7 linked regions of the Macaca mulatta genome follow. Each later gene encodes a partner of the first gene's protein in a complex. Links are inferred from orthologs where the notes say so. Each region holds a gene or a part of one and is shown in the gene's direction. Other genes may lie near its edges.

The links.
Region 2: the proteins of GNB1 (region 1) and GRK2 are in contact, whole or in part, in a crystal structure (PDB 5UKL), measured with the Homo sapiens proteins. The link is inferred for Macaca mulatta from reciprocal best matches to the Homo sapiens genes GNB1 and GRK2. Residues at the interface, in NP_001269468.1 of Homo sapiens: Leu55, Ala56, Lys57, Tyr59, Ala60, Gln75, Asp76, Gly77, Lys78, Pro94, Leu95, Arg96, Ser97, Ser98, Trp99, Val100, Met101, Leu117, Tyr145, Ser147, Asp186, Met188, Cys204, Asp228, Asn230, Asp246, Ile270, Cys271, Asp290, Phe292; in NP_001610.2 of Homo sapiens: Tyr553, Gly556, Lys557, Asp558, Phe584, Pro585, Asn586, Arg587, Glu589, Pro597, Gln598, Leu600, Thr602, Glu604, Ala654, Leu657, Val658, Val661, Pro662, Lys663, Met664, Lys665, Asn666, Lys667, Arg669, Pro671.
Region 3: the proteins of GNB1 (region 1) and CHRM2 are in contact, whole or in part, in a cryo-EM structure (PDB 7T96), measured with the Homo sapiens proteins. The link is inferred for Macaca mulatta from reciprocal best matches to the Homo sapiens genes GNB1 and CHRM2. Residues at the interface, in NP_001269468.1 of Homo sapiens: His54, Leu55, Asp312, Asp333, Ser334, Phe335; in NP_000730.1 of Homo sapiens: Val50, Asn51, Arg52, His453.
Region 4: the proteins of GNB1 (region 1) and GPR21 are in contact, whole or in part, in a cryo-EM structure (PDB 8HJ1), measured with the Homo sapiens proteins. The link is inferred for Macaca mulatta from reciprocal best matches to the Homo sapiens genes GNB1 and GPR21. Residues at the interface, in NP_001269468.1 of Homo sapiens: Gln44, Arg46, Thr50, Arg52, Ala309, Gly310, His311, Asp312, Asp333, Phe335, Lys337; in NP_005285.1 of Homo sapiens: Pro57, Leu58, His61, Arg313, Arg317, Thr324.
Region 5: the proteins of GNB1 (region 1) and FFAR2 are in contact, whole or in part, in a cryo-EM structure (PDB 9CM7), measured with the Homo sapiens proteins. The link is inferred for Macaca mulatta from reciprocal best matches to the Homo sapiens genes GNB1 and FFAR2. Residues at the interface, in NP_001269468.1 of Homo sapiens: Arg52, His54, Leu55, Asp312, Ser334, Phe335; in NP_001357016.1 of Homo sapiens: Arg37, Gln38, Pro39, Gln40.
Region 6: the proteins of GNB1 (region 1) and KCTD5 are in contact, whole or in part, in a cryo-EM structure (PDB 8U7Z), measured with the Homo sapiens proteins. The link is inferred for Macaca mulatta from reciprocal best matches to the Homo sapiens genes GNB1 and KCTD5. Residues at the interface, in NP_001269468.1 of Homo sapiens: Arg52, Gly53, Leu55, Lys57, Tyr59, Gln75, Asp76, Gly77, Lys78, Thr87, Asn88, Lys89, Val90, Ala92, Pro94, Leu95, Arg96, Ser97, Ser98, Trp99, Met101, Leu117, Gly131, Asn132, Val133, Arg134, Val135, Thr143, Tyr145, Gly162; in NP_061865.1 of Homo sapiens: Val157, Arg159, Val160, Leu161, Gln162, Cys163, Gln164, Glu166, Glu167, Gln170, Met171, Thr174, Met175, Ser176, Asp177, Trp179, Ser190, Tyr191, Val205, Lys207, Leu209, Glu219, Ser221, Lys223, Ala224, Leu227, Gln228, Arg230, Gly231, Ser232.
Region 7: the proteins of GNB1 (region 1) and ADGRD1 are in contact, whole or in part, in a cryo-EM structure (PDB 7EPT), measured with the Homo sapiens proteins. The link is inferred for Macaca mulatta from reciprocal best matches to the Homo sapiens genes GNB1 and ADGRD1. Residues at the interface, in NP_001269468.1 of Homo sapiens: Arg52, Asp291, Val307, Ala309, Gly310, His311, Asp312, Asp333, Phe335; in NP_942122.2 of Homo sapiens: Ser593, Val594, Ser595, Arg598, His819, Lys822, Val823, Leu826.

Annotation. Positions count from the first base shown.
Region 1 is NC_133406.1:238,916,187-238,919,066, forward strand, and holds part of GNB1 (guanine nucleotide-binding protein G(I)/G(S)/G(T) subunit beta-1), read left to right. Parts: intron 1-457; coding exon 458-659; intron 660-1,787; coding exon 1,788-2,004; intron 2,005-2,880. UniProt on the Homo sapiens protein: Guanine nucleotide-binding proteins (G proteins) are involved as a modulator or transducer in various transmembrane signaling systems.
Region 2 is NC_133419.1:7,118,544-7,122,751, reverse strand, and holds the start of GRK2 (beta-adrenergic receptor kinase 1), read left to right. Parts: upstream 1-1,408; 5' UTR 1,409-1,750; coding exon 1,751-1,863; intron 1,864-2,718; exon of another isoform or gene 2,719-2,900; intron 2,901-4,208. UniProt on the Homo sapiens protein: Specifically phosphorylates the agonist-occupied form of the beta-adrenergic and closely related receptors, probably inducing a desensitization of them. Key regulator of LPAR1 signaling.
Region 3 is NC_133408.1:176,693,419-176,697,657, forward strand, and holds the start of CHRM2 (muscarinic acetylcholine receptor M2), read left to right. Parts: upstream 1-1,439; 5' UTR 1,440-1,799; exon of another isoform or gene 1,800-1,980; intron 1,981-2,067; 5' UTR 2,068-2,225; intron 2,226-4,239. UniProt on the Homo sapiens protein: The muscarinic acetylcholine receptor mediates various cellular responses, including inhibition of adenylate cyclase, breakdown of phosphoinositides and modulation of potassium channels through the action of G proteins.
Region 4 is NC_133420.1:24,744,776-24,748,815, reverse strand, and holds GPR21 (putative G-protein coupled receptor 21), read left to right. Parts: upstream 1-1,240; 5' UTR 1,241-1,845; coding exon 1,846-2,895; 3' UTR 2,896-3,766; downstream 3,767-4,040. UniProt on the Homo sapiens protein: Orphan receptor.
Region 5 is NC_133424.1:46,711,541-46,715,840, forward strand, and holds the start of FFAR2 (free fatty acid receptor 2), read left to right. Parts: upstream 1-1,500; 5' UTR 1,501-1,627; exon of another isoform or gene 1,628-1,641; intron 1,642-2,085; exon of another isoform or gene 2,086-2,201; intron 2,202-3,304; 5' UTR 3,305-3,305; coding exon 3,306-4,298; 3' UTR 4,299-4,300. UniProt on the Homo sapiens protein: G protein-coupled receptor that is activated by a major product of dietary fiber digestion, the short chain fatty acids (SCFAs), and that plays a role in the regulation of whole-body energy homeostasis and in intestinal immunity.
Region 6 is NC_133425.1:3,916,721-3,920,817, forward strand, and holds the start of KCTD5 (BTB/POZ domain-containing protein KCTD5), read left to right. Parts: upstream 1-1,297; 5' UTR 1,298-1,324; coding exon 1,325-1,576; exon of another isoform or gene 1,577-3,627; intron 3,628-4,097. UniProt on the Homo sapiens protein: Its interaction with CUL3 suggests that it may act as a substrate adapter in some E3 ligase complex. Does not affect the function of Kv channel Kv2.1/KCNB1, Kv1.2/KCNA2, Kv4.2/KCND2 and Kv3.4/KCNC4.
Region 7 is NC_133416.1:138,337,995-138,342,008, forward strand, and holds the start of ADGRD1 (adhesion G-protein coupled receptor D1), read left to right. Parts: upstream 1-1,214; 5' UTR 1,215-1,821; coding exon 1,822-1,887; intron 1,888-1,979; coding exon 1,980-2,016; intron 2,017-4,014. UniProt on the Homo sapiens protein: Adhesion G-protein coupled receptor (aGPCR) for androgen hormone 5alpha-dihydrotestosterone (5alpha-DHT), also named 17beta-hydroxy-5alpha-androstan-3-one, the most potent hormone among androgens. Also activated by methenolone drug.

The DNA of each region.
Region 1 (2,880 bases):
CTGCCTTTTCTAAGATCCTGTGGAGGGGAGGCCAGGGGAGGGCACAGAGGGAGCAGCCACAGGTAGAGTCGCATCCCCCTCCGCTATCCAGGGCCTCCCCATGGCTTCCTGCCACCCCCTCCATGCCCATCCATGACTGAAGAGTGGGACACAGCCTCAGTGTTGCTGCTTGAAAAGTGCCCCTAGCTCCCTCTTTGCTGGCGTTTGAGTTGAGGTAGTGATCCCGTCATTCTGAAACCCAGGCCGTGTGCTCATCTCTGTATAATTTTGCTTACTTTGCTTTGTTTCCCTTCCAAAGTTGTATTACATTTAAATTTGTCTTTAAACAATTTACGTTTTTAAAGTAACAGTGCAGAGGCTCACTGTGGCCCTGGGTGGTTTGAAGGACAGACTGTCATATGACTAGCCACCCGAGAAGTTGAGGCTGATGTCCCCTTGTCATTCGCTCCTGCTCCAGTGCCCTGTGGGACATCGAGACCGGCCAGCAGACGACCACGTTTACCGGACACACTGGAGATGTCATGAGCCTTTCTCTTGCTCCTGATACCAGACTGTTTGTCTCTGGTGCTTGTGATGCTTCAGCCAAACTCTGGGATGTGCGAGAAGGCATGTGCCGGCAGACCTTCACCGGCCACGAGTCTGACATCAATGCCATTTGCGTGAGTCTGGGTGAAGGTGTGGGGTCGGGGCCTCTGCTGTCTCTGCTAGCCGTTCAGATTGCTAAATTTTAAACTTTTCTGGATTAGATGTTCTCCTTTCTGATCCTTATACAACCTCGTCTGCAGATGGGGATACAGAAAACTCCCCGTGGGAAACGTCTCTATGTTGACCACTTGTCTTATAGATATTCACAGGGTGTCTGTTATGTGCCAGTCCCCGTTCCCACCTGTACAGCTGAGCAGCGGTTGGGATCCTGGAGGGGAGAGACAGTAAGGTAACTCAGGCCACCAGTTACCGGTTACAGAGCCTTACTGGTCAGGGGCACAGCTAACCAGGAAACCTGCTCTCCTCTTTAGCACGCAGATGGCTAGGCAGTGTTTCCAGCCCCTGGCCTTGTGAGGAGACGTGGAAGGATGTATCTGTTGGTTGGATAGAGCTCTGCTGCAGTCCTGACCACTGCCCTGCTCAGCCCACTTCGCTCCTTCCTCCATGAGATTAGCCCTGATGTCTGGCAGCTACAGCACCTGTCAGTGATGACTCCTTTCTCACTATTCCTTTGAAATAAATTCTACTCTTTGGGGACAGTAATCACAGTGTCCAAGATCACAGTGTTTATGTGCTTCCCCAGTGCAAATCCCCTTCCATCCCAATCCCCTGTAGTTCCTGGGAAACCTCCCCTGCCTTTTTTTTTTTTTTTTTTTTTTTTGAGACAGAGTTTTGCTGTTGTTGCCCAGGCTGGAGTGCGATGGCACAGTCTCGGCTCACTGCAACCTCTACCACCTCCCGGTTTCAAGCGATTCTCCTGCCTCAGCCTCTCGAGTAGCTGGGATTACAGGTGCACGCCACCAGTCCTAGCCAATTTTATATTTTTAGTAGAGCGGGTTTTCTCCATGTTGGTCAGGCTGCTTTCAAACTCCCAACCTCAGGTGATCCACCCGCCTCAGCCTCCCAAAGTGCTGGGATTACAGGCGTGAGCCACTGTGCCCGGCCCATCCCTCTGTTCTTACCAGAGCACAGTCTTGCTGGTCTTTGCTGTGTTCTCTGCAGCCCTACCATTGAGCAGTCCATATGCCCAATATTTCTTTCTGAGTGTTAACATGATGTCTTGATTTGCTTTCTCTTTCCAGTTCTTTCCAAATGGCAATGCATTTGCCACTGGCTCAGACGATGCCACCTGCAGGCTGTTTGACCTTCGTGCCGACCAGGAGCTCATGACTTACTCCCACGACAACATCATCTGTGGGATCACCTCTGTCTCCTTCTCCAAGAGTGGGCGCCTCCTCCTCGCTGGGTACGACGACTTTAACTGCAACGTCTGGGACGCGCTCAAAGCCGACCGGGCAGGTACGTGACCGGGGGGCTTTTCTGTGTCTCCTGGACATTTATGTGGCATCTTTAGGGCAGACACAGAGTTGTTGATAAGCTGCAGTGTTTAGTATCAGTGGGACTGTGGCATGGTATAGCAGGAGTGATAGTCGCAAACTGATGGCCCAGCTCTGGCCCTCCAGGCAAGTGGACTCCGAAGAGCACCAGCAGATCTTCCCACATGTGCGGGGGAGGGCTTTGGGGAGGGTCAGTGGGCAGGAGAGGGTCAGCTGTGCAGGCTCCAGGGCCCAGTCCCATGTTTTCCCCTCTGAACTCTGCATCAGGGGAGCAGAGCGCCATGCAGGGACACCTCTGGGTGCTGTTACAGTTAACATATCAAAGGCAAGCATGTTATTGCCAGGTGTATTAAAACACTAGATGTACAAAAGATGAGGCTTCCTTACTAAAAGTAGACATTTGGGCATTTCAATTTGAGAACTGTTGACACTTACAGACTCTTAGATTCATTCGTCTCAGTACCTGGGAGGACAGAAGAAGGGAGCATGGCTCCAGGTCTTGGCCCTTACCGGGGCTTCCTGCTTCCGGATGGGTGCCATTCTCATGTCCTGGTTAAACACCCTTGTTTTTCTCCCCAGCCTGGGGGGACCAAAGTGGAGCCATTTCCGGCCAAGTCCCACAGTCATAGTGCTGTTGAAAGGCGGTGGAAGCCAGCCCAGGCCTTGGCAGAGCACACACTGGCCCCTATGCTCAGCTGTGTGGTGTCTGCAGGAGGTGGGGGAGGGTGGCTGAAATGGGCCTTCAGATCCCCCTGGGAGGAAGTGGAGCTTCTGGCTGGTGATGATCCAATCGAAGGTTATTGAGTGTTGACAGAAGGCCCCCCTCACCATGTGACAG
Region 2 (4,208 bases), on another chromosome or scaffold:
GGCCAGACAGGAGACTATAGTGACAAATTAGAGAAGGGGAGAAAATGAAGGAGCAGTTAGGGAAAAGAAACCTGGGGCTCACCACTCACTGAGAGGAGAACCTCACTAGCTCTGATATGCTCTGGTTCCAGGTTCTGTTGGGACTGATCCAAGAAGGTAGCCTAGAAGTGCACAGAGATGGGAGCCTTGCTTTGCAAAAGGATCCTGGTTGCTGGCCCACAACATGGTAATGAGATTTGAGCTCTATGTGCCCAGGGCTGGGAGGAGGGTCCTATCACTTCAAAAGCAAAGAGAGGGTCTAGAGAGGGGCATGTTGAGATAGGACTGCTGCCTTGAGACACCTGGCTTTCCTCACTCTGGGTGGGCTCTCGGGTGGGTTTCCCCTACCAGGCAGCACTGAAACCTCTGTGCCCTCCCAGGCTGGGAGAGGTTTCACCCTACATGTGGAACCATCCTGAAGGAGCGTCTAGATGGGATGGGGTACACGGAAGGGAGCTGCCAAGAGTGCTGGCCAGGGACCTGGGTCTACGAGCCTGTTAGGGGGTGGGGTTGGGTGTAGGGTACTTGATCCAGAGTGGGCCTGCAGGGGCCAGGATTGGTTCTAGAGTAGGAGGGGTGGGATCGGGGATGGGGGAAGGCTGTAATTGGACTGTAGTTGTCAGATCCCAGGTTCTGGGTGACCTACTAAGGATTCTGGGTCCAATGTGGGTCCCAGGTTAGATGTCCTAGTCCCAAGTCTGTGTCCACAGTTCTGGGTGTTGAGCCTAGGACAGTGGTCTGGAGTTGATAGTCCAATCTAGGTCTGAGCCCTGACCCCAAGTCTAGGATGCAGGGTCATGGTAGTGGCCTAGGGTCAGAGTCAAGGTTGGGGTCAGTAACCAGGATGAGATCGAGGTCATGGTCCAAAATCTGGATCTGGGGAACTGTTAGGGGTCTGGGGTGAGTGTCACAGTCTGGGTATGGCGTTGGAGACCCAGGGCTGTGATCTGAGGTCATGGTTAGAGTCTGAGGTGGCGGGCAAAGGTTTGAGTCTGGGGTCCTGTTTGGAGTCTGGTGTCAGGTCGTGGACTGCGTCAAAGGTCAGGGAGTCTGGGGTTATAGCCAGGGTCTGAGATGAAAGCCCCGGGGTGGTGTTCAGAGGTCTGAATCTGTGTCTTGGTGAGCGTCCAGGTTCCTTGTGATCATGTCTGTTGTCAGGACCACGGCCTGACTGGAGAGCCTGGGATTCAGAGATGTGACCCGAGGTTGTGGTCAAGGAATGGGTCTGGGATCGTCTTCCGTGCCGGGTCCCTGTCTTGTTCCAGGCCCGGGTCTCCGTCCAGACCCGAGGTCACCGCCAGGATCTGAGCCCTCTGTCGCAGGTCTCCGCGCGGCCTCCAGGGGGCACCATCGCCCGCCCGGCTCGGCCACTTGCGGGCTCGCTGGCGCTGTGCGCGGCAGGCGGGGCCGGAGGCGGCGGCGGCTCCGGGGCGCGGGCGCGCGGGCGGCGGCGGCGGCGGCGGCGGCGCCCCGACTGCAGTCCCGGCGGGAGCGGAGCGCGAGCCGGGGCCGGGCCCGAGCCGGCGCCATGGGGCGGCGCCGCCTGTGAGCGGCGGCGAGCGGAGCCGCGGGCGCCGAGCGGGGCCAGGCGGGAGGCGTCGGCGCCCCAGGCCGACCGAGCCGCGGCCGGACCGGGCCGAGCGCCGAGCGAGCGGGAGCGGCGGCGGCGGCGGCGGCGGCGGCGGCGGGAGGAGGCAGCGCCGCCGCCAAGATGGCGGACCTGGAGGCGGTGCTGGCCGACGTGAGCTACCTGATGGCCATGGAGAAGAGCAAGGCCACGCCGGCCGCGCGCGCCAGCAAGAAGATCCTGCTGCCCGAGCCCAGGTGAGGAGAAGTCGCCCGCGGCCCCGGCCCGACCCCGCGGGCACCCCGGCCGCGACTCCGAGACCCTGGCCCCACACTCGACCCCGCGACTTGGACCCCCGGGGCCGGCTCTCGCGACCCTCTGTCGGCCCCCGAGCCCGGAGCAGCCCGGCCGTGGCGCCTGCGGGTCCAGACGCTAAGCCCCAGACCCCGGGCGCCTGAGCCCGGAGCGCCCCAACTCCGGAGCTCCTCTGCCCCTTCGGCCCCCGGGCCCGCTCCGGTCCCGCCGGCCGCCCTGCTGCTTCCTTATCGCGTTCCGCCGGCCCCCCGCTCCAGTCGCTGTCAGCCCCTAGCTCCCGCCTTCTCCCACAGGGGCCCGGCGCGCCCCTTCATCCTCCTCCGAGCAGCCCTTGGTCCCTGTGGGGTCCCTTCCCCTCCGCCGGCCACCATTTACCTCGCCTGACGATGTCACCCACCCTTTTGCTGTCCCTGCTCACGGCACCCGCCTTGGGGTTTCCACTACCCCCACCCGTCTCCCCTCCAGTCTACACTTGTGTGAGGTGTGGGGGGACAGCCAGTTTTCCGGACTCTTCTCCCACCCTCTGGTGGAGTCGCTATCCTGTAGTTGGGCTTGAGAGTGCTTTCGGGGCGGCGTGGTGAGCAGGACCTAGGGTGCTGCGGACGCCCTCCCCCTCGGACCGCGCTCAGGTGGGGGAAACATGCCGTGCCCTCTCCCCCACATTCCTTCTCGGGCGTGCACTGCATATGGTGCCCGGTGGGTGCTGTTGACCAGGGGCCCTCCCAGCACACTGGCAACAGCTGGACCTTAGCTGCCGCCCCTGTAAGACAACTGACATCACACCTGGTATCAAAGTTTAGACTGTTCAGGATGTAGGTGCAAAAGTACACAGGATGTGGACGATTGCTGCGGTTTGTCCAGCTCTTTATGGCTGATGGAGTATCTCTCCACTGTGTGAGCCTCTCAGCAGCGAATGGGGTGGCCAGGACAGGTGTGGTTTTGTCCCTGTGGAACAGGTGGGGAAACTGAAGCTCCAGAGGTGAGTGGCCTGCGCCAAGTCACACAGGTAGTCTCAGGTGGCACCTGGCCAACAGATCAGGGCTTCAGACTTCCGGTTCTACATTTCATTGGCTGCCCTGGCCTGCGCCAGGGAGCAGATGTGCCCGCCACGGTCCTTTGTGTCGTGTGGCAACTCCTCGTGCATGCCTGAGAGTTAGCCTCCTGGTGCCCCAGCAGGCTGGGAATGGGGCCTGTCCACACTGCCGTGGTCTTATCTTGTGACTGTGGGCAAGTCCCTTCCCTCACTGGGCCTCAGTCTTCTCATCTGTGAAATGTGGATGGCGTGAAATAAGAGTTGTGACTCTGTGATGTCCCTCAGCCTTTGAAGTGTCTGTCTAAGCCTGGGCTGACGCTGCAGGGGTGCCATGCCCATGGCCCTCACCGGCCCCCTCTGCCATGCCCTGCTCACTGGGTGTTTGGATTGACTGAACGTCAGGCCGGGGAGAGGAAAATTGGTCTGCATTCTGAAAAGGCCGTTAGGGCCTTTTTTTTCTAAGATATTTGCAATCAGATTTCTCAAAACAGGAACCAGACTGACTGTCAGCTGGGGGCTGTCCAGGGAGCAGTGACGGTTAGTGCAGAAATGAGTTCAGAAATGACAAACCCACGAGGGAGGAAATGGGGGAGTCAGCCTCTAGGGCTCAAAACGGCTCTCCTTCGTGGCCGCAGCTTTGAGACCCTCCTGCAGGATGGAGTTCGGCAATGTGTGAGGTGGGACCTTTTCTGGAACTGTCTGCGTTCGTGTACTTTTCCCCCCAGAATGCATTGCTTCTGATGGGGTGCCGCCTTGGCTCTGCAGGTGTCAGAACCCGGAGAAACGAGATGTTCTTCTTTTCCTGTCCCCTTTCCCATCCACAGCAGTGATGGCGATGATAGCAATAATGATAGGAGTTATTACTGACTTACCTGTTTTGACATCTGTCCTCTCAATTCTTCAACCAACCTGTGAAGCTGGCAAGGCCATGCCTTGCATGTAGTAGTTGCCCAAGAAATACCAGGACTGTGTGACGCCCCAGGCAGTCCTGAGCAGAAACAAGGTTGGATAGGATTCTAGGAGGACAGCAGGAGGCGGAGCCAGGCAGCCCAGGTTTTCACATTGGGTCACCATCAGCAGCATGGCCTTCCGCAAATTGCCCACATCTGTGAAATGGACTGGAGGTGCGAGCGCCGAATGTCAGTGTGCTAAGGCCTGGGAAGGGCTATGGGCCACCCCTACATGGGGGTCCAGGCCTGGGGCATTAGGGAGCAAGCCACCCTTTGCATAATGCCTTGCCTTGCACACCCAGTG
Region 3 (4,239 bases), on another chromosome or scaffold:
AAATGCTGGGAGAGGCTGAGAACAAAACTTAACAGGGCTGTTTTGATTTTCTCACAGGTATCTTATAATCACCCAGTGATGGTGGGATGTGAGTATGGAGGTTGAAGGCAGAGGTACAGTATTATAATGCTATATTTTAGGATGACTTCAATCAAGCAAAATCAACTTTGTGTCAGGTCCTGCTTGGTGATAGCTATGAGTTAACAAAAAGGGCAGAAACTTTCAGCTACAGCATTTCCATTTATCAATAAATTTACATTGCTATAAAATTAATCATTAGATTGTCAACTGTTACATAGATGTTTCATATGAAGTGTCTTTTCTTGTCAATAGGAATAGAAGCCTATAAAAACACAGGAGCGGTGGATTTTGCTATTCTGGATGTCCTTTAATACCTAGCAAAGCCCTGGACATCAAGAACTTAACAACTTAATTGACCATATTATATTATATCAATGTATCTTTAACTTGCTCTTTGGCTATCCCTGTGACCCAAAAAGTGATATGTCCAATTCTGGGCTATTTAATTTAAAGTTTCCACTTCTTGCTCTTTATTTGATTGAAGTTGGATGAGAGAAAATACAGCCTATGTAATATATATCGATGTTATAGTCACATACACATATGCCTTTACAAAAGCAAGTTTTGGCCTCAGCTACACTTTAGAATCCTATCATTGTACTTTTGTCAAATGAGGTTAGTATCTAAAAACTAATGGATACAATTATTGGAAGAAATTTCTCATTAAAATAAAGGAATAAACATCAGAGGCAGGTCTGAACACAGAAAGTTTGCATCCTAATTTTTTTTCATGGAGATCACAAATTCCCTGAAGCATCAAACATATATATATATATATATATATTCTGTGTGTATGTGTGTGTACATATATATATTCTGTATATATATATATTGTGTGTGTGTGTTTGTGTGTGTGTATTCTGTAGTCTACTGCCCATTAGGTGAAGAAAACATGGTCACTGTCTCATGTTTAAAATAAGAGAAAAAAAATTACTTCTCCTTCGAATACATTTGTCAACGCTCCAAAGAAATAAACAATATGTGAATAGTTCAGTACAATTATATATTTACAAAGCATAGGGGGTTTAGTCTAACATTTTCCCACCTGAATAAACTGAGCTTAAGTATCTCCGACAATCAAAAGGCAATACTGCGTTCTTCCCAATATGCCATGTCACCTTTGTAGCACTCACACACTTGCAGGGAAGGGACTCGGGGTTGGGGGTGGTTCTGATGTAGAAATTGCAGATGGAGAGCTGGGCTCTGGGGATGGAAATGGAGAGGAGCGAAAAAGAGCCTGGAGAAAAGGCTGTCATATTTGCTCAGAAGAACCGCCAAATCAGAGAGCACAGAAGATTTCATTGGGGGAGAGCCTTCAACAGCAACTAATCCTGTCATACTGAAAGAAAATTGTAAATGTTCTCTCCAGAAACTGTCCGTCCATTGCAGCTAATCGAACACACACGCACGAATACAGACACGCTCTCCTGCTGTACTAAAGGCGCCCGGGCGCAAAGACCTACGGAGCGCGCGCGGGCGCACACACACACACACACACACACACACACACACTCACACGCTCCAGGCTGCCGGTTGGCCAGAGCCTGGCAATCGCAGATTTCACCAGGAAATCGCCGAGATACCGGAATAGGTGTTGCCTCCCCAAAACTAATTCCTACTTCCCCAAGCACTTTGGGGAAGAAATGAATCCAACCCAGCTCGCCGAGGCATCCAGGTCTCCGTTCTATTTTGGTCTCCAGGCTCTTCGTGAAAGCCAGGTTTGAAAGTCTTGTTTGCTTCTCCTTTAGTGGTTTGGCGTGGAGGGCGGGGGCAGCGTCAATTTAACTCCAGTCTAAACCACGAACAGGTCACAGACTAGCCAAGTGGCTGAGACGAGTGTGGGGTGCGTGACTCTGCCTGCAAGCGCGCCAGCCCCGCAGCTCTCGCCAGAGCCTTTGGGTCGGTTCTCTCCCGCCTCTCCCGCCTCTCCCGCCCCACCCCTCCAGTGTCTCGGCATCAACTAATCTTTTCCTTTTCTTTTGCAAGATCAAGGGAGAAAGAGAACCGGCGGCTGGCCTCGGACTCTAAGCGGTGCGCAGCTCCAGCCCGGGCGGATCGGCCCTGAACCCACAAACGGCTCCTCGCTCCTTCAAGCCTCCACCACCTCGCAGCCGGGGAGGCAACTGGAGCGAAACCAGCGACAGGTAAGGGCCCCGCGCTGTGCAGCTCTCCGCTTACCCACTCCGAGGACCCTGGCACCAGGGGGTCTCTCCCTTCATATCCCCCCAAACCGGACGCTCAGGGGTCGGGGCTTGGGGGAATTGGAGGGAGGTCCTCCCCACGTGCAGATTCTCAAACGGAAACTTTGGATCCTGGGGCTTGGAGGGTTGGGGGCAGTGATGGCGGGTATGGAAGGAAGGGGCAAATGAGGCACAGCGCGGGGCGGGGTACCCCTACGATTCCGACGGTCACTGAGTCCAGCCGAATGTGGCGAAAACAGCCTCGGAGCCGCGCTGTCCCGGCATCGTTCCCAACAGCCCCCCATACCCTCTACTGTTGCCGCCCCCCCTCCCGCCACCCACTCCAGATGCGGCCATGGACAAGACAAGGAGAGCTTCGTCCCTCCCGCCCCTCGGGTTCCTTCCTGCTGGGGTCTGACCGCGTCTTCTGTGCGTGTGGGATGGAGGCCCGGCTCGCCCGGGCTCCAGGCTGTCCCCCGGCTCCGCTTTCGAAGCAGCCCTTGGGGGCTGGAGAGGTTTCCCATTGCGGTCTCCGGGTCATGGCCAAGGAGGAGAAGCATTAAGAATGGGGGAAAGGGTCCCAAGACAAAGGAGAGGGAAGCATTCTGCAATCCTATTCTATTTTAGCCCCTCGCAGGAGCTAGACTGTCCGCCGTGGCTAGGGGACAAGGTCTCAGCCCGAAGCTCATGAGGTACCAGACTGTGCCTGGGCTTTGCCACCTAACTCACAACGGGTCCTGAACCGCCCCGGTAGTCCCCGGGGTCGTAGATTGGGGACCGCTGTACGCCTCCCCCCTCCCCCCAAGAATGTCCCTTGCAGTCCGCACCTGAGGTCCCAGGCAATCGCCGCTAACTTGTAGCTCTCGGACCCGGACAGGTGAGGTGCATGCCTGGTACCGGTAGACGCGCAGAAATTCCACCTATGCGCGCTGCCGGGCGCCCCTGGGGCCCCTCACGGGGTAAGTAGAGACTCCTCCGGGAGAGGTGAAAATTCCCCAGCATTAAGAACACACACGGCGGCACACCCTTTGCCTCCGTCGGCCTCCAGCACCCGCATCCCTTTCTCTATCTTCCTGCTCATCGCCGACCTCGAGGTTGCCCCGAGACACAAAATTGTCCCAGGCAGAGTCCACCGACCCGCCAGTCCCTGGCGATGTTGTCAAGGCTCTTGCATATACGGAAATACCAGCAGGGAGGGTCGCCAGGGGCAGAGAGGCTGGAGGAGAACAGAGAATCGGAGGTAAACGCGTAATGCCAGCAGAACTGTCGGTGGACATTTCACCCAGACTGCCCTCCCACATCCTTAGGTCAGTTCACCGCCACAGCAGGTCTGTGACGGCGGCCACCCAGGGCTCCAAGTCTTCCAGCCCCGGCGCCGCGAGCCAAGAAGAATGCGGCGCCTCCCACTCCTCAAGCTCCGGAATCCCCCACATTGACTTTCTATTTCCCTTTCTTCTTTTCTTTTTTGTTTGTTTTGTTTTTCCTGCTCTTTTCTTAGCGCTGGGTGGCAGTGGGTATGTGGCAGCCGTGTGATTTGCCCTTCCCCTAGTACACGCAGCCAGAGACACAAGCACACAACGACCAGTCCCCACGCTCTGCCACACGCCCTCCAGAGCTCTGGCGCGCAGCCCCTGCTCCACAGCTCGGGGCGCCTGCAGCCACCGCCAGGGTCATGGCCATGGCCCAAGCAGGGCTCAGAGGGTGGAGAGGGGAGTCAACCTAGACTCCAGAGAGAAACCTTGGGACAACCCTAAAGGCCTTCTGAAAACTGGAACTGGGTTAGGCACGAGGGGTGAGAGACTCTGGCGAAAACCGGCCGGGCTTGCGGAGCCCTGAGGGCTCCTGCGGCTGCAGCGCTGCAGACCGCCCCTGTCTCGCCCCGCCCCGCCGCTGGGCGTCCCCGCCAGCAGCCCACCCGCGGGCGGCAGCTTTTCTCCATCCTGCCCAGGGAAGTTCGATGCCTGGTGCTGGGATGCGC
Region 4 (4,040 bases), on another chromosome or scaffold:
AAATTACACATTTTCATAGCACCCAACTCTGTTACCTGAAAATTGTCATCATTTATGACATTACTAGGAAAACCACAATATAATCCCAGTTTGCATTGTTTTAAATAGGCAGAAACAAGATTGTATATTCTAAGATACAAAGGCTTATTTGTACCATGAAACCTCCTGTAATATCCATGCCTGAGTAGAAGAAGGTACATTTACTTTTCTATCTTTTGTTTGTATTCTTGTATACTGCTCAGCAAATTAGAAGCAAGAAATGTATCTCAAAACTATAGGGTAGTGTCAAATATGGGAACAATGTAATTTCTCTGTGCTATTTCTGTAGTATTCAGAATGGGAAATACTTTACTTTTCTCTTGAAAAAGTGATTTTAAAGTTTCTTGGCCAATATTCAGTGAATCATGAGAGACAAAATTAATGGTGAATAGCCTTCTAGCTAGAACTTCTTGTGCAGCTGAATTATGATTGTCAGTTGCCATATGCCATACACTTAAAGGAGGTTAATATACTTCCTTTCTTTAATATTGCTCTTTGTTCTTTGGGAAAATGCCATGAGAAAATAGGAATTACCACTCTGGCAGTGTGTTTCAGTCTAACTCCTGACACCCTGTTCTGCTCCTGCCCCTTCTCCTTGCTAGCAGCCTGAATTCTGCTTATCTACTAAAAGGGGGATTCCAGACAGACGAGGAAACAGCTTTCAAATGAGGCACTGCAGGCATAGCAAGCCATTCCCACACTGTGCAATCTGGAAATCAGGGGGCACCTCTCTGACGATGAATTCCAATTAGTTGCTAAAGATTCCGGAGTGTGTGCACATACAGGCGTTTTCTTTCCCCTCCCCCTTTCTTCTTTTTCCCAAGCCCCCTCTTCTCCCTGTTTCCCCTCCTACTCCTTTATCCCCTCCCTTCGTGTCTCAGTTCTGCAGTACGCGAGTTGAAGCACATTCCTGCTTTGCAAGGCTTTCTGTTAAGGATGTATTGTGGCTTTTGTTTGGATTGCAGCATGCAGAATTACAGGTAACATTCTGAAATTGAACTAAACAGCAAATTCTGTTGAAATGTTTTCAAAGAGGCAAAATATTATATTGGAATCAATGAAGAAAGTAAATTATTTTGGCTATTTTTATTAGTGGTAATTGTAGTGAAAGGTTTTCATAAATATTATAAGCAAATTCCCTTTTTCCCCCAAGTCTCAAATGAAAGGAAATGGGGGTAAATTAATCTGACTGTGATTGGTTTTGTTTTATGCTGATCTTGAAAGCTTGATGTTGCTGCTGCTCCTCTATACAGTACAGATCAGTTATGTGGGGTGCTATTGAGGGTAGCCATGAATAGTGGTGCTAGTAGGGGTGGAGTGGGAGGGATGATGCCAGCCTGAGCTAGCCAGGTTCTTTGATTAGGGCATTGGATGTGAAATGTAAAATGCTCTCTCCTTTTCTTCTATCAGCTGTTCAGAGGAGACTCATTACAACTCCTGCTGAAGCTCCTAATCTTCTTCCCTTCTCTTCTACCCTTTCCCCCTACCCTCACTTGGCCTGAAGACGTTGTCCCCAGAGTTTACGTTGCTCCCCTGGTGCTATGTGTATGGTGAACCTGGCGCTATGGCCACGTCTGGGACTGGCCAGACAACTACTGCTGGCTCTCCTTATTCCAGGAAGGATTTAAAGGGGAATTGCACTGCAGGCAATGCACCAGAGCAGCAGCATCGGGAGCTTGGGGACTAAGGCTCCTCTGGCATTATTACACACATGCAAAGCTGACCGCAATGACAGCAGCTGCTTCTTTGAACTGTTGGCAGCAGCCAAGCGGCAGCATGAAGTGACAGATCACTCCTGAGCTCAAGATGAACTCCACCTTGGATGGTAATCAGAGCAGCCACCCTTTTTGCCTCTTGGCATTTGGCTATTTGGAAACTGTCAATTTTTGCCTTTTGGAAGTATTGATTATTGTCTTTCTAACTGTATTGATTATTTCTGGCAACATCATTGTGATTTTTGTATTTCACTGTGCACCTTTGTTGAACCATCACACTACAAGTTATTTTATCCAGACTATGGCATATGCTGACCTTTTTGTTGGGGTGAGCTGCCTGGTCCCTTCTTTATCACTCCTCCATCACCCCCTTCCAGTAGAGGAGTCCTTGACTTGCCAGATATTTGGTTTCGTAGTATCAGTTCTGAAGAGCGTCTCCATGGCTTCTCTGGCTTGTATCAGCATTGATAGATACATTGCCATTACTAAACCTTTAACCTATAATACTCTGGTTACACCCTGGAGACTACGCCTGTGTATTTTCCTGATTTGGCTATACTCGACCCTGGTCTTCCTGCCTTCCTTTTTCCACTGGGGCAAACCTGGATATCATGGAGATGTGTTTCAGTGGTGTGCGGAATCCTGGCACACTGACTCCTACTTCACCCTGTTCATCGTGATGATGTTATATGCCCCAGCAGCCCTTATTGTCTGCTTCACCTATTTCAACATCTTCCGCATCTGTCAACAGCACACAAAAGAAATCAGCGAAAGGCAAGCCCGCTTCAGCAGCCAGAGTGGGGAGACTGGGGAAGTGCAGGCCTGTCCTGATAAGCGCTATGCCATGGTCCTGTTTCGAATCACTAGTGTATTTTACATCCTCTGGTTGCCATATATCATCTACTTCTTGTTGGAAAGCTCCACTGGCCACAGCAACCGCTTCGCATCCTTCTTGACCACCTGGCTTGCTATTAGTAACAGTTTCTGCAACTGTGTCATTTATAGTCTCTCCAACAGTGTATTCCAAAGAGGACTAAAGCGCCTCTCAGGGGCTATGTGTACTTCTTGTGCAAGTCAGACTACAGCCAACGACCCTTACACAGTTAGAAGCAAAGGCCCTCTTAATGGATGTCGTATCTGAAGTGGCTCAGTTACGGGGTTCCCCTGTGTGTGTGTGTGTGTGTGTGTTTTATCTCTAAGTATTCCTCATTCACTAGGAAATCTGAGACAGAATACTTTGACTCTAAGCAATAGCATGCAAATTATTCGTACGGATACCTTCTAAGTTTGTAGAAATGGTTTTCAAAAGTGCTTTTGAATTAGAAGACTTAAGATCATGAAGACAAATTGCTGTTGCTTTCAATTTTTGAAATGTCTTGGAAATGACTACAGTTCTCAGATTTAGAATGAATAAAGCCATATCTAACACCTCTTTCCAGCTGGCATGACTGAACCTGAGTGTGAAAAGCGTCAGCATTTTAAAAAGTCATCATTTTGTTGTCACTTTGTGGGTTATTTCCAGCTATTTAGGCTTCATGTGCAATTGATTTCTTCTAACAGGGAATAGTAAAATATAAATTAAAAGGTTTTAGAAATTATTTTTTATGTATGCCAAAGCATAACTACACTGCAAGTTTCAACACTGTCATTTAGAAAGCCAAATGTTCTATGTTTTATTCTCTTGAGAGAATTCTCAGTAGGGTGAATAATGTGAGCACATAAACACTAATTTTAGAATTTTACAGTGAACCATGAAGCAAAAGTGCAATCAAATTATACAGTTTATGAAAAACTGTGCTACTTTTTGTGCCATACTTCACAGAGATCTAAAGATATGTGTGCATAGAAGTGATCATGTTGTAGTATTTTTGCCTGTGCCTTTGTGTTATGTCTATATTTAGAATATCTGAATTGTTAGATTTATCTTTTATGGCAAAATGTGTTTAAGCTAAAAAATAATTCAGTGATAGGCTGTTGGCTGTACATTTTATAACAGTGACTATGTACAAAAATGTGTCTTTAATATTGTCTGTTCTTTCTATTCAAAGACTTCCGAAATATTAGAACATCAGGGAGAAGGGTATCTGTCATAAGCAACTGAGTCAGAAAGTATCCCATAGTATACTGATTGTTTTTTAAAAATATAAGGGAGCTGAGACATTTTCTTTGTGGTTAAATGGAATCAACTAGTTATTTTTGAAAAGTATTCTTTCAGTTAGTGCTAAGGAATCCACATTTGAAGAGGGGAAGGGGAAACTCTTAAGTCTCTTATTGCTATTCTCTTTC
Region 5 (4,300 bases), on another chromosome or scaffold:
GTGGCAATAACAGAGAACGGTCTCTCTTAGTTCTCCTGTTGATCTGAGAAGTGACGTGTGCTGGGGGGAAGGAAATAAAGAACTAGAACACCTTCAGAGGAGAGTAGAGTGGACGAGAAAGAAAAGATAAATATCAAAATATGTGGACCCTTATAGACCACAAAAAGAATAAATGACTGACTGACTGACTGACTGAATGAATGAATGAATGAATGAATGGCAAACGATAGGAAATAGGTATGTCCTAGGGAAAGAATGGGGATTCTGTGAGCAGGAATCAGGCCACAGACGGCAGAACAGAAACTTCTTCCCTAGACTTCTTCCCTAGGTCAAGAGGAAAACACGTTCTGACGATCCTTGCTTCCTCAGGTGTGCTTTTCAAAGAGACCTTCAGGAGCTTCTAACCTGGGGCTACCGAGGTCAGAGAGGGGGAAACTGAGACTTTATCAGGGAAAGGAATGGAGCCTGAGTGCCACTCCCTGACGAAAAGCCACACGGGCACGTGAACTCGGGCCTCCTGAATTCCTGACACTTTCCCAAGAGAGATGGCACGTCCATGCCCTGAGCCTCTGGAGGCTGCACCAAGCGGCTCACTCTCTATGAAGCTGTGTTACAGGCTTGGGACGAGGCAACACTAACGGGCATCTAGTAAGTGCTTACATACACAACCTCACTGAATCCTCGCAGAAGTCCTCGGATGTCAGAATTCACATGCTCACTTGACTATAAGAAACTAGAGTTCAGGAAACTGATCTGCCCCAAGGTTGTAATGAAGGGACCTGGATATGAGCCCATATCTATCTGCATAACTGTAACTCCCACACCATTTCTATCATAACGAGATGCAGGCCAGGACGGGCAAAAGAAATGTGTTGGGGGCAGAGGGCAGGAGACCATAGAGAAAGTAAAAAAAAATTGAAGAAGAAAAGGAAGGAGGGCTGGGTACAGTGGCTCATGCCTGTAATCCCAGCACTTTGGGAGGCCGTGACAGGCGGATCACTTGAGGTCAGGAGTTCAAGACCAACCAACATGGTGAAACCCCGCCTCTACTAAAAATACAGAAATTAGCTGGACGTAGTGGCAGGTGGCTGTAATCCCAGGGAAGCTGAGGCAGGAGAATCGCTTGAACACAGGAGGCGGATGTTGCAGTGAGCTGAGATGGCACCGCTGCACTCCAGCCTAGGCGACAGAGCAAGACTCACCCTCAAAAGGGAAAGCTCATTTCTGAGAATGAGCAGAATGACAGAAGAAACTGCCTGAGAAGAGAAAACAATCTGACTTGAGAAGTAAAAAAAGAAAAATGCCTGGCAATTTTTATTTTAATCAAGAATTAAGGACAGAAAAATCTGCATTTGGAAGTCAAGAGTGAAGATTCTCTCGAGAGAATAAAGATGCTGGGCCTTTCCTTTGGGTTTGAGAGGAAATATTGCTTAAAGACTGACCTTCCTTTCTCTGGTCACGTGGCTGGTGCTGGTATAAATGCTTCCTACCAACCAGGTTCCTCACCATTTTTTCCTGCATGGCATGGACAGAAGCAGGGGCTAAAGCTGTGTTCCTCTCTCCCGGAAACTTGCAGACCTCCCTTCAGAACCAATCCCAAGAAGCCATCTATCCGGAACAACACAAGGCAAGGCAGCTAGTGTAGTACTTGTGCTCTGGGAAGAGAGGCCAGGATCAGATTTGAGGGGAAGGTTCTAGGGGACTGGAGGAAGGATGTCAGAACCAAATGGAAGGCTCATATCCAGGGACAGGAGCTAGTGTGAGGAGCAAGGAAACAGCCAGGAAATCAAGGGTGGAGAGAGGATGGAGGGACAGGACCAGGGCTGGGGGCCAGCAAGGGTGACACCCCAAGTGGAAACTGAGTTACCCTGTGAAGAAGACGAGTTCTATTTATGGTCAGAATGTCAGGCTCAAGGGCCGGTGAAGCCTGTGGGCTTTTCTGAATATTTCTCTAAGGTCTTCTGGGGACAAGCCTTCCTCCTAAGGCTAGTGCTGGTTCATCCTTCCTCCCCTCCACCCTCCTCTAAGCCTCTCAGCTTCCCCTTTTCCATTTTTTTTGTTTTGTTTTGTTTTGTTTTGATGGAGTTTTGCTTTTACTGCCCAGGATGGAGTGCAATGGCACGATCTTGACTCACTGCAACCTCCGCTTCCCAGGTTCAAGCAGGTTCCTGCCTCAGCCTACCAATTAGCTGGGATTACAGGCGCCCGCCACCTTGCCTGGCTAATATTTTGTGTGTGTGTGTGTATTTTTAGTAGAGATGGGGTTCACCACGTTAGCCAGGCTGGTCTCAAACTCCTGACCTCAGGTGATCTGCCCACCTCGGCCTCCCAAAGTGCTGGGATTACAGGTGTGAGCCACTGCGTCCGGCTCCAGCTTCCCCTTTTCTTTTTTTTTTTTTTTTTTTTTTTTTTTTTTTGAGACGGAGTCTCGCTCTGTCACCCAGGCTGGAGTGCAGTGGCCGGATCTCAGCTCACTGCAAGCTCCGCCTCCCGGGTTTACGCCATTCTCCTGCCTCAGCCTCCGGAGTAGCTGGGACTACAGGCGCCCGCCACCTCGCCCGGCTAAGTTTTTGTATTTTTAGTAGAGACGGGGTTTCACTGTGTTAGCCAGGATGGTCTCGATCTCCTGACCTCGTGATCCGCCCGTCTCGGCCTCCCAAAGTGCTGGGATTACAGGCTTGAGCCACCGCGCCCGGCCCAGCTTCCCCTTTTCTAGAGAGTCCCAGTTTGGTGTTGGACAGAGGAGGACAAGGTGGGGGAGAATCTGTGCCCTGCAAAACAGAGGAAGGGAAGTAGGAAGCTGGGCTGGTGGCTGGGCACCTGGGTCCTGTGGAGAGCTGGCACTGGGCATCAGCGCCTGGGGCCCCACAGCCTCGTTATCCTGACACATGTCTTACAGCTCTCTCCCCACACTGATGCCTTTCTCTCCTGCAGGTCTCTGTCTGAGAAAGGGACTTGGGTAAAGTTAGAAACTGATAACAGTAACTTCCTGTATCTGTGAGGATAGGAGGAGAAAGGCTAGGGAAAATGGAGGGGGAATTCCCTTGGGAAGCCACGGGTTGGTCTCCCCCAGAGACACATGATGGCAAACATCATCACTACTGCTTAATATCCCGCCCAAGGCAAAGTCAATAATTGCTCTGGGTAGTTTGAGCAGGTGGTGTGAGCAAGCCGTGGTGGCATCAGAAAGCACTGTCCTGGGAAGGGGACGGTGCCGGGGAGGATGTCTGCATCCTGAACAAGAGCTGGCTGCACAGGCTGTGAGTGAGACCCCCTGACCCCGCCCTTTTTTGTTCTCCTCCAGGATGCCGCCAGACTGGAAGAGCTCCTTGATCCTCATGGCTTACATCATCATCTTCCTCACTGGCCTCCCTGCCAACCTCCTAGCCCTGCGGGCCTTTGTGGGGCGGGTCCGCCAGCCCCAGCCTGCACCCGTGCACATCCTCCTGCTCAGCCTGACGCTGGCGGACCTCCTCCTGCTGCTGCTGCTGCCTTTCAAGATCATCGAGGCCGCATCGAACTTCCGCTGGTACCTGCCCAAGATCGTCTGTGCCCTCACGAGTTTCGGCTTCTACAGCAGCATCTACTGCAGCACGTGGCTGCTGGCGGGCATCAGCATTGAGCGCTACCTGGGCGTGGCTTTCCCCGTGCAGTACAAGCTCTCCCGCCGGCCTCTGTATGGAGTGATTGCAGCTCTGGTGGCCTGGGGTATGTCCTTTGGTCACTGCACCATTGTGATCATTGTTCAGTATTTGAACACGACTGAGCAGGCCAGAAGTGGCAATGAAATTACCTGCTACGAGAACTTCACCGATCACCAGCTGGACGTGGTGCTGCCCGTGCGGCTGGAGCTGTGCCTGGTGCTCTTCTTCATCCCCATGGCGGTCACCATCTTCTGCTACTGGCGTTTTGTGTGGATCATGCTCTCCCAGCCCCATGTGGGGGCCCAGAAACGGCGCCGAGCCGTGGGGCTGGCTGTGGTGACGCTGCTCAATTTCCTGGTGTGCTTCGGACCTTACAACGTGTCCCACCTGGTGGGGTATCACCAGAGAAAAAGCCCCTGGTGGCGGTCAATAGCGGTGGTGTTCAGTTCACTCAATGCCAGTCTGGACCCCTTGCTCTTCTATTTCTCTTCTTCGGTGGTGCGCAGGGCATTTGGGAGAGGGCTGCAGGTGCTAAGGAATCAGGGCTCCTCCATGTTGGGACGCAGAGGCAAAGACACAGCAGAGGGGACAAATGAGGACAGGGGTGTGAGTCAGGGAGAGGGGATGCCAAGTTCGGACTTCACTACGGAGTAGCA
Region 6 (4,097 bases), on another chromosome or scaffold:
ATGTTGAACTCCTGACCTCGTGATCCACCCGCCTCGGCCTCCAAAGTGTTGGCATTACATCGCGCGCGGCCAAATTTTTTTTTTTTTTTTTTTTTTTTTGAGACGGAGTCTCCCTGTTGCCGGGGCTGGAGTGCAGTGTCGCGATGTCAGCTCACTGCAACCTCCGCCTCCCGGGTTCAACTGATCCTCCTGCCTTAGCCTCCCGAGTAGCTGGGATTACAGGCAGGTGCCACCATGCCCGGCTAATTTTTTGTATTTTTAGTAGACAGGGGCTTTCACCGAGCCAGGCTGGTCTCGAACTCCTGACCTTGTGATCCGCCCACCTTGGCCTCCCAAAGTGCTGGGATTACAGGCGTGAGCCACTGCGCCGACCACGCCCGGCCTAAATTCTAATATACGAATTATATGGATTGAATTCATGTTCGGGGCCACGTTGTTGTATGCATAGAGGTACAGCCTTAAATGTGAACAATTACTATAAACTATATTTTAAAACTTTTTTCTGACTTTATTACATAAATTTTCTTCCTTTTTTTTTTTGAGATGGAGTCTCGCTCAGTCACCAGGCTGGAGTGCAGTGGCGAGATCTCAACTCATTGCAACCTCCGCCTCCCGGGTTCACGCCATTCTCCTGCCACCGCATGCCGAGTAGCTAGGATTACAGGCGCCCGCCACCAAGCCCGGCTAATTTTTGTATTTTCAGTAGAGACGGGGTTTCACCCTGTTGGACAGGATGGTTTCGATCTCCTGACCTCGTGATCCGCTCGCCTGGACCTCCCAAAGTGCTGGGATTACAGACTTGAGCTACCAGGCCCTGCCCTTATTATATAAATTTTGTATTGGGTCAATGATTTAATCATATCATTTAATGAATCTGTTTATTCTTTTTTCCCCCCCAAATATTTGTCCTTCAGGGGTAGTTACCAGATGATCAATTTTCCTCGTATATTCGGTAGTCTTGTAATAAAAAGCATGTAGAGTGTAGACGTCTGCTGGTGTGGCTCCTCCTTCGACCGGTGCATGAGCTGGGGTCACGGTGTGGGTAGAGGCTAGGGTCTGGGTCAGGCGCTCACCCCGCTTTTGGGAAAGCGAGGCAGGTCGCCGCCGCAGTCCGTCAGCATTGGCGCCCAGATCACGCCGGTTCCGCTCCCGCCGGAAGCGGGCCTAGCCTCCTGCTTTTCCGGACCGGAACTTCCGCTTGTCGCGTGACGCCGGGGCGGGCGCTCTACCGGGGCGGACCTGTGGGCGGGACAGAACTCGGAGGACGCTATTAAAAGCCGGACGCTTCCGGTGGAACGGAGCTGTGGCGGGGCTTGCTGGGATCATGGCGGAGAATCACTGCGAGCTCCTGCCGCCGGCCCGGGGCGGCCTCGGGGCGGGGCTGGGTGGCGGCCTGTGCCGTCGCTGCAGCGCGGGGCTCGGCGCCCTTGCCCAGCGCCCCGGCAGCGTGTCCAAGTGGGTCCGGCTCAACGTCGGCGGCACCTACTTCCTCACCACTAGGCAGACGCTGTGCCGGGACCCGAAATCTTTCCTGTACCGCTTGTGCCAGGCCGACCCCGACCTGGACTCGGACAAGGTGAGGGCCGCGCGGGCCAGCCCGGAAGGTCCTGGCCATCCCGGCCTGCGGCTACCGCACACGTTCTGCTTCGTGCAGAGGAGACCTCAGCGGGAGCGGGCGACTCTCCTCGGGCTTCGAGCCCCGCGATCCCTTGTCACCAGCTCGTCCCCAGCTTCCCCCGACCCCCTACTCTGGGAGGGGAGGACGAGGATGGCGCCCTGGAGTCCACTGCTTTGGAGGATCCTGAGTCGCTTCACCCTGGGGTGTCTCTTCCTCGCCCTCTTTGCTTTTCGGTGGAGGAGGCTTCCCAGATCCTGGACTTTGCTGTGATTCTACTTTCTTTTTCTCAGTAGGTTCTTTTGCCCAGGGTGTGTGAACGCCTTCTCTTCTCTGTCCTAGGATACTTGCTGGCTCTGGAAACAGAACCCTTGCGTTGCTCTGTCCTTTCACATTCTGGACGTTTGAATTAACGCTGGCGCGGGGGTTGACATGGGCGGCCCTTTTTTTTCCCGGTGACTTGCATTTAGAGAGTTGGCTCTCCATCCTCTCCATCCACAGCACGTATCACCCACTCAGCACCTCTTAGAAGATGCGTCCGTAGTATATAGTATGACTTTTCGAAGGGAATTTTGCTCATGTTAAGGGTTGCTTTAGGGTTGTCCAGGAAGAGCCAGGTAGGGAATCTTTCAGTCTGCTTTCTGATTAGCTTAGTTTTCTCACTGTCTTCGCAAAAAGACAGGAATTTCCAGGTTAGTTTGCCGCTTGTCTTTCATCAAGCGAAATGCTCATGCTGTTGGGCAGATGGCAATAGAAACCTTTTATTACCTTTTTTAAGAGTTGTGAAGCCGAGGAAGAGTGTCTTGGGAGTTGTGCAGGATTGAAACTTAGAAAAAAAGCGTGTTTGAAGAAGATGTTGCCTGTTTCTTCAAGGCAGTTCACAAGCCTTACACTAACTTTGCTGGGTCTGTCAGTTGAGCTTACATGATTGCACTTGGCTTTGTGCCGTGGCAGCCAACATTTGCCATGCATGAGCCTTCCCAGAAAGGCTCGGATCCCTCTTCAAGTTTGAGAAGCCTGACTGAAACCATTCTCAGCATGGCATGACCATGATCAGGAAAAGAGAATCTGGAGTTACTGCTAAGGCCGCCTTGTGGGTAGAAATGAGGGTTTGAGATGCCAACACTCCTGACTCTCCCCACAACTTCCAACTGTTTCCATTGCTCATTTGACCAAGCCGTCTCCTCAGAGAATTGACTCCCAGGAAATGACAGTATAGGCTTTTGTTAGCTGTGATTTTCCTTTCATAAGGGTGGGTGTATGTTTTACTGTTTGGTTTTTCTTTTTAAATAGCAGGGCTTAGTGGTCACTCCCTTGCCTTTCTACTCAAGCGTTCCTGTTTTGTATGTGAAATTAGATTTTAAATTGCTCTTGTTCATTGGATTCTTTGAGGCAATGTCTATCTATTCAGCACTGGAGCACTTGATTGAGAGCTGATTAACTTTAGCACAGTTAAGGTGGTTCATCCCTTTATTTTACAGTTCCTTAAGATTTTGTTAAAAATTATGGGCTGGGCTCGGTGGCTCACGCCTGTAATCTCAACAGTTTGGGAGGCCGAGGCAGGTGGATCTCGTTGGAAACCAGCCTAGCCAATATGGTGACGTCCGGTCTCTAGTCAAAATACAAAAAATGAGTTGGGCGTGGTGGCAGGTGCCTGTAGTCCCAGCTACTCCGGAGGCTGAGGCAGAAGAATCGCTTGAACCCGGGAGGCCGAGGTTGCAGTGAGTCAAGATCACACCACTGCACTCCAGCTTGGACGATAGAGCAAGACTCTGTCTCAAAAAAAAAAAAAAAAAAAAAAAACAACTTTACTGTAGGAATCAATTCTTTGGGGAAGGGATAATTAATCTTTCCGAATATATCTATGTTATACTTGCTCTTTTCATCATCCTCCATTTAACCAGGTTTGATTTCCAAATGGTAAAACTGAAACTCAGAACATGAAGGTAAAGTAGCAGTACAGTCTGTCTCATAAAATAGTTGGAGTAGGGGCCGGGCATGGTGGCTCACACCTGTAATCCCAGCACTTTGGGAGGCCGAGGCGGGTGGATCACCAGAGATCAGGAGTTGCAGACCAGCCTGGCCAACATGGCGAAACCCTGCCTCTACTAAAAATACAAAAAAATTAGCTGGGATTGGTGGCGCGTGCCTGTAGTCCCAGCTACTCGGGAAGCTGAGGCAGGACTGTCGCTTGAACCGAGAGGTGGAGGTTGCATTGAGCTGAGGTTGCGCCACTGCACTCCAGTATGAGCAATAGAGTGAGACTGTCTCAAAAAATAATAATAAATAAACAATAATTGTAGTGAAGGTTAGTTTTAGTGATAGATAATTTGCCAGAAGTGTAGTGCTAATTCATATTAGTCCCAATACTAAAGTGTTTTTCGTCAAATGAGGAAATGTGTAAAATGCTTCATCTTAGTTTTTGTCTCCTGTGGCTCTGATGAAAGAATGTCCCAGGAGATTCCTCCTAATTAAATCCTGA
Region 7 (4,014 bases), on another chromosome or scaffold:
GATAAAGGTTGTAAATTAGTTTTCCCTGAAGCCGACCAGCCTGAGCAACAGGATAAAGGTCGTTATTACAGACAGCCCTGGGCCTTTGGAGTTCACAGTTTCTCTAGTGCTAGGAGATGGAACTCTCTGGAAACCTTCTCCAGCTCCACAGAGAGGCTCAGGCTATCAGAGGATCTGAGTGGTTATAGGCTGCAGGCACGAGTTAAAAATAATCACCTAACGTTTTGACAGCACTTTCTTTTTTTCTATCCCACAGAGATTGGAAGTCATTTCTTATCCTCTTTAGGAAGCATGTTGGATTCGGGGTTCTTAATTCCCATTTAAAGTCAGGACGATTGAGATAACTGTATCAGCTAACGTTTACTGGGTGTTGTGTTATACTTGCTAATAATAATCATAGCTAACATTTACTGAGTGATAATTTTTCTTAATAAAAAATAGCAGCATTTATTGAGTGCCACATATTTTCCAAGTACTGCCTGAAGAGCCTTGGATCTGTCCTCTAATTTATTGTTACAGCCCCGAGGAGGAGGAACTGTTAACCCTCATTTTGCGGATGAGGAATTTGAAAACAGAGAGATTAAGTAGTTTGCCTAGAAACACAGCTGGTGAATGCGGGAGAAACTATGAAGGGTAAGTATTACTGAAATCACATAGCAAATATAGCTGTGATTGCAATTATAGGGTGTGTGTCTCTGTGTGTACACGTGGATTTGGAATAGATAGGATAAACTTTGGTCTTGGGTAAACTGAGGCATGTCTGGAGAAGGGGCTCTTTTCTGTCACACTGAGAACATCCTCCTGGTGCTGGGGTGGGGGGATATGCGGTATGGTATAATTGGGCAGCGTACCTTGTAATTAATTCTGTAGCTTTCACTGACGTCTGAAAGGATTAAAGAGAAAAATGTGGTAAACACTTAATATGGAGGGCACAGTGGGTGTGCTGGTTTTTCTTTTCCATCCCTCTATCAACTTCATTCTTTCTCGGAGGCAAACAAGACTCAGATCTAAACAGAGTTTATGGTTTGTTTTGCATTTTGTATTTATTAATATTTATGCTGACTTCGAGGGTGCCGACCAGAAGGCATCAGTAACACACACACAGCCCGTGTCTGTCTGGCTTGATTCTGAGCCTGAGATCCTGAAAATATTTCAGTTGTTGTTAAGAGGCTGGAGTTAGGACCCAGGAAGGACACAGCAGTGGGGATATAAATAGAGAAGGAGAACAGAACAAGGTTTGAGGAGAGAGACTTACATCACTCACTCCCTCTCCACCCAGAGAGCGGGACGGAGGTGTGAACTTGAGCCAGACCAGAAGGAGCTCCAGAGCGGCCGCAGGACGAGTCCGAGGAGCAGGCGGGCGCTCCAGGGAAAAACCACGCACAAAACCTTCTTCAGAGAAAAGGGAAGCACCAAACCTGACCGAGACAAACGGAGGCTTTTTAAATAAAAAGAAAACACCGCAGGACAAACAGCCTCCCATCCCCGGGCGCAGGTCGCGGTCACAGTGGTGACCTGGGATTGCTTTCCCAGGACTGTGAGTCGGATTTGGGTTTCTCCTCCCTGCATTCCACAGCTGCTCTGGTCATCGCAACGTGTTTATTGATCACTGAAGAATCTCAAGTTTTGAGACAAGGAAGAAACACCCATTAGGTCTCCAAAACAGCTGCGTTTCACAAACTTTAAGGAGACAGAACTTTTTTTTCCCCCCTGGAACCTGTGAAAATGTCCCTTTTCCAAGGAAGTGAAGGTTAAGAGGTCCTGTTCTCACAGACCCTCAGGAATTTCACTTGGCTCCGAGCTTTGACCTCCCAGAAAGCCATGGCAAAGCTGCTGCGGCTGTGCTGCTGGTACTCCCGCCTGCTGCTATTTTGTTACAACTTTCAGGTAATGTCCCCAAGTGGCCAGGATGGAGACGGGCTCGGTTTCTCTGGAGGCTTTCCCCGAGCGTCTCTCACACTGTGGTCTTTTGTGTGCAGGTGCGTGGTGTCTACTCCAGATCGCAGGACCATCCAGGTAAGAGTGTTTCCTTCTCACGCTGAGCACCGCCCTCCCCTCCCTGCCTAATGTGGTATCCCAGGAACAGCCCACTTGTTCATCTCTGAGGCCTCAGCGAATGGCCCTTGCTGGGCTCCTGGTCCTCGACCTCACTGCCCCACCACACGCTGTGGCCCTGGGCAGCTCCGCTACCCCTCACCGGCCGAGTGGTGGACGGAGAAGCGGTTCTGGGCCCCTTGAGCTGGGTCATATGAAACGTGATTCAGGAAATAGGATCTCCTCCACTTGAATGCCTTGTCTGTCCCTCCCTCCCTCCCTTCCTTCCTTCCTTCCTTCCTTCCTTCCTTCCTTCCTTCCTTCCTTCCTTCCTTCCTTCCTTCCTCTCTCTCTCTCTCTCTCTCTTTCTTCCTTCCTTCCTTTTTTTTTCCTAGATGGAGTCTTGCTCTGTTGCCCGAGCTAGAGTGGCCCAAACCTCCGCTTCCCAGGTTCAAGCAATTCTCCTGCCTGAGCCTCCCGAGTAGCTTGGATCACAGGTGTGCACCACCACGCCCAGCTAATTTTTTTTTTTTTTGTATTTTCAGTAGAGACAGGGTTTTACCATGTTGGCCAGGCTGGTCTCAAACCCCTGATTTCAGGTGATCCGCCCGTTTTGGCCTCCCAGAGTGCTGGGATTACAGACGTGAGCCACCGCACCCATCACATGTCTTCAGGGCAGTTTCACTGGGGGACACTTGGAGCTCTGGCCCATAGCAGGGTCTTGGGACCTCCAGCCTCAGAGTGCTGACCAGCTTAGCCTGGAGCAGCCCATGAGTGGGACTCAAGACAGAGGGCCACCCTTGGTCTGGCCCCAGAGCCACATTCCTTTGGCCATTGTGACACCAACCAGGAAGCATCAGGATGGGGCTTCTCCTGGGAGCACAGGGAGGCACACGCCCTTTGCTGTTGAGAGTGTGGGCGCACGTTCCGGTCAGCCAGGGGCAGGGATGGGAAGACCAGGCTTTCTGGGAGTGGCGGGCAGTCACGGGGTAGTTGCTTCCTGCTGGAAGTTGCAGGAGATGGGGAGAAGACCCTCTAGTGCCTGAACCCCTGCTGGGAAGCCTGTTGTGAGCACAGCCACCGCCCCAGCCCCACCAGAGCTTGGCTGGGCACCTCCCTGAGCACTATTGTATGGCCCTGCCTGTCTCTGATGGGAAACCAGCCTTTTTAAAAAAGATTATTTTTATTTTTATTTTTTCAGACAAAGTCTCACTCGGTCACCCAGGCTGGCGTTGAGTGGTGAGATCTCAGTCTCAGCTCACTGCTACCTCTGCCTCCCGGGTTCAAGCAATTCTTGTGCCTCAGCCTCCCAACCAGATGGGATTACAGGCCCGTGCCACCATGCCCGGCTAATTTTTGTATTTTTAGTAGACACAAGGTTTTGCCATGTTGGCCAGGCTGGTCTTGAACTTCCAACCTCGGGTGATCCCACCACCTCGGCCTCCCAAAGTGTTGGGATGACAGATGTGAGCCACTGCGCCTGGCTGGGAACCAGCCCTGAACGATCAGACAGAAATGGGCTCAGGCCAGCCCTGCGGGCAGATCCCAGGGCGATGTCCAGGCCTCCAGGGAGAGCCCCTTTCCTGGGTGGAACACCAGGAGACTGCTGGGGTCTAGGGCCAGGGGCTGAGCCTGCTGGGGTCTAGGGCCAGGGGCTGAGCCTGCTGGGGTCTAGGGCCAGGGGCTGTGCCTGCTGGGGTCTAGGGCCACGGGCTGTGCCCTCAGCCTCTGTCTCCTCTCCGGCTGCCCGGCAGCCCCAAGCCAGGATGTTCAGGCATCGTCACCTCGCCACCACCTCCATCCACCAACGCAGGGGTGGGGACGCTGCCACTTCTCTTTCGTCCACATGCGTAAGGAGCTCCTTTTAAAAAGGTGTGGAAGCTGTGCGTTTCCACTCGTTCCCCTCTCCTCAGCCAACTCACTGAATGAAAGAAACAAGGGCTCCTGTGGCTTGGGAATGAACAAACACACGCAGCGCTG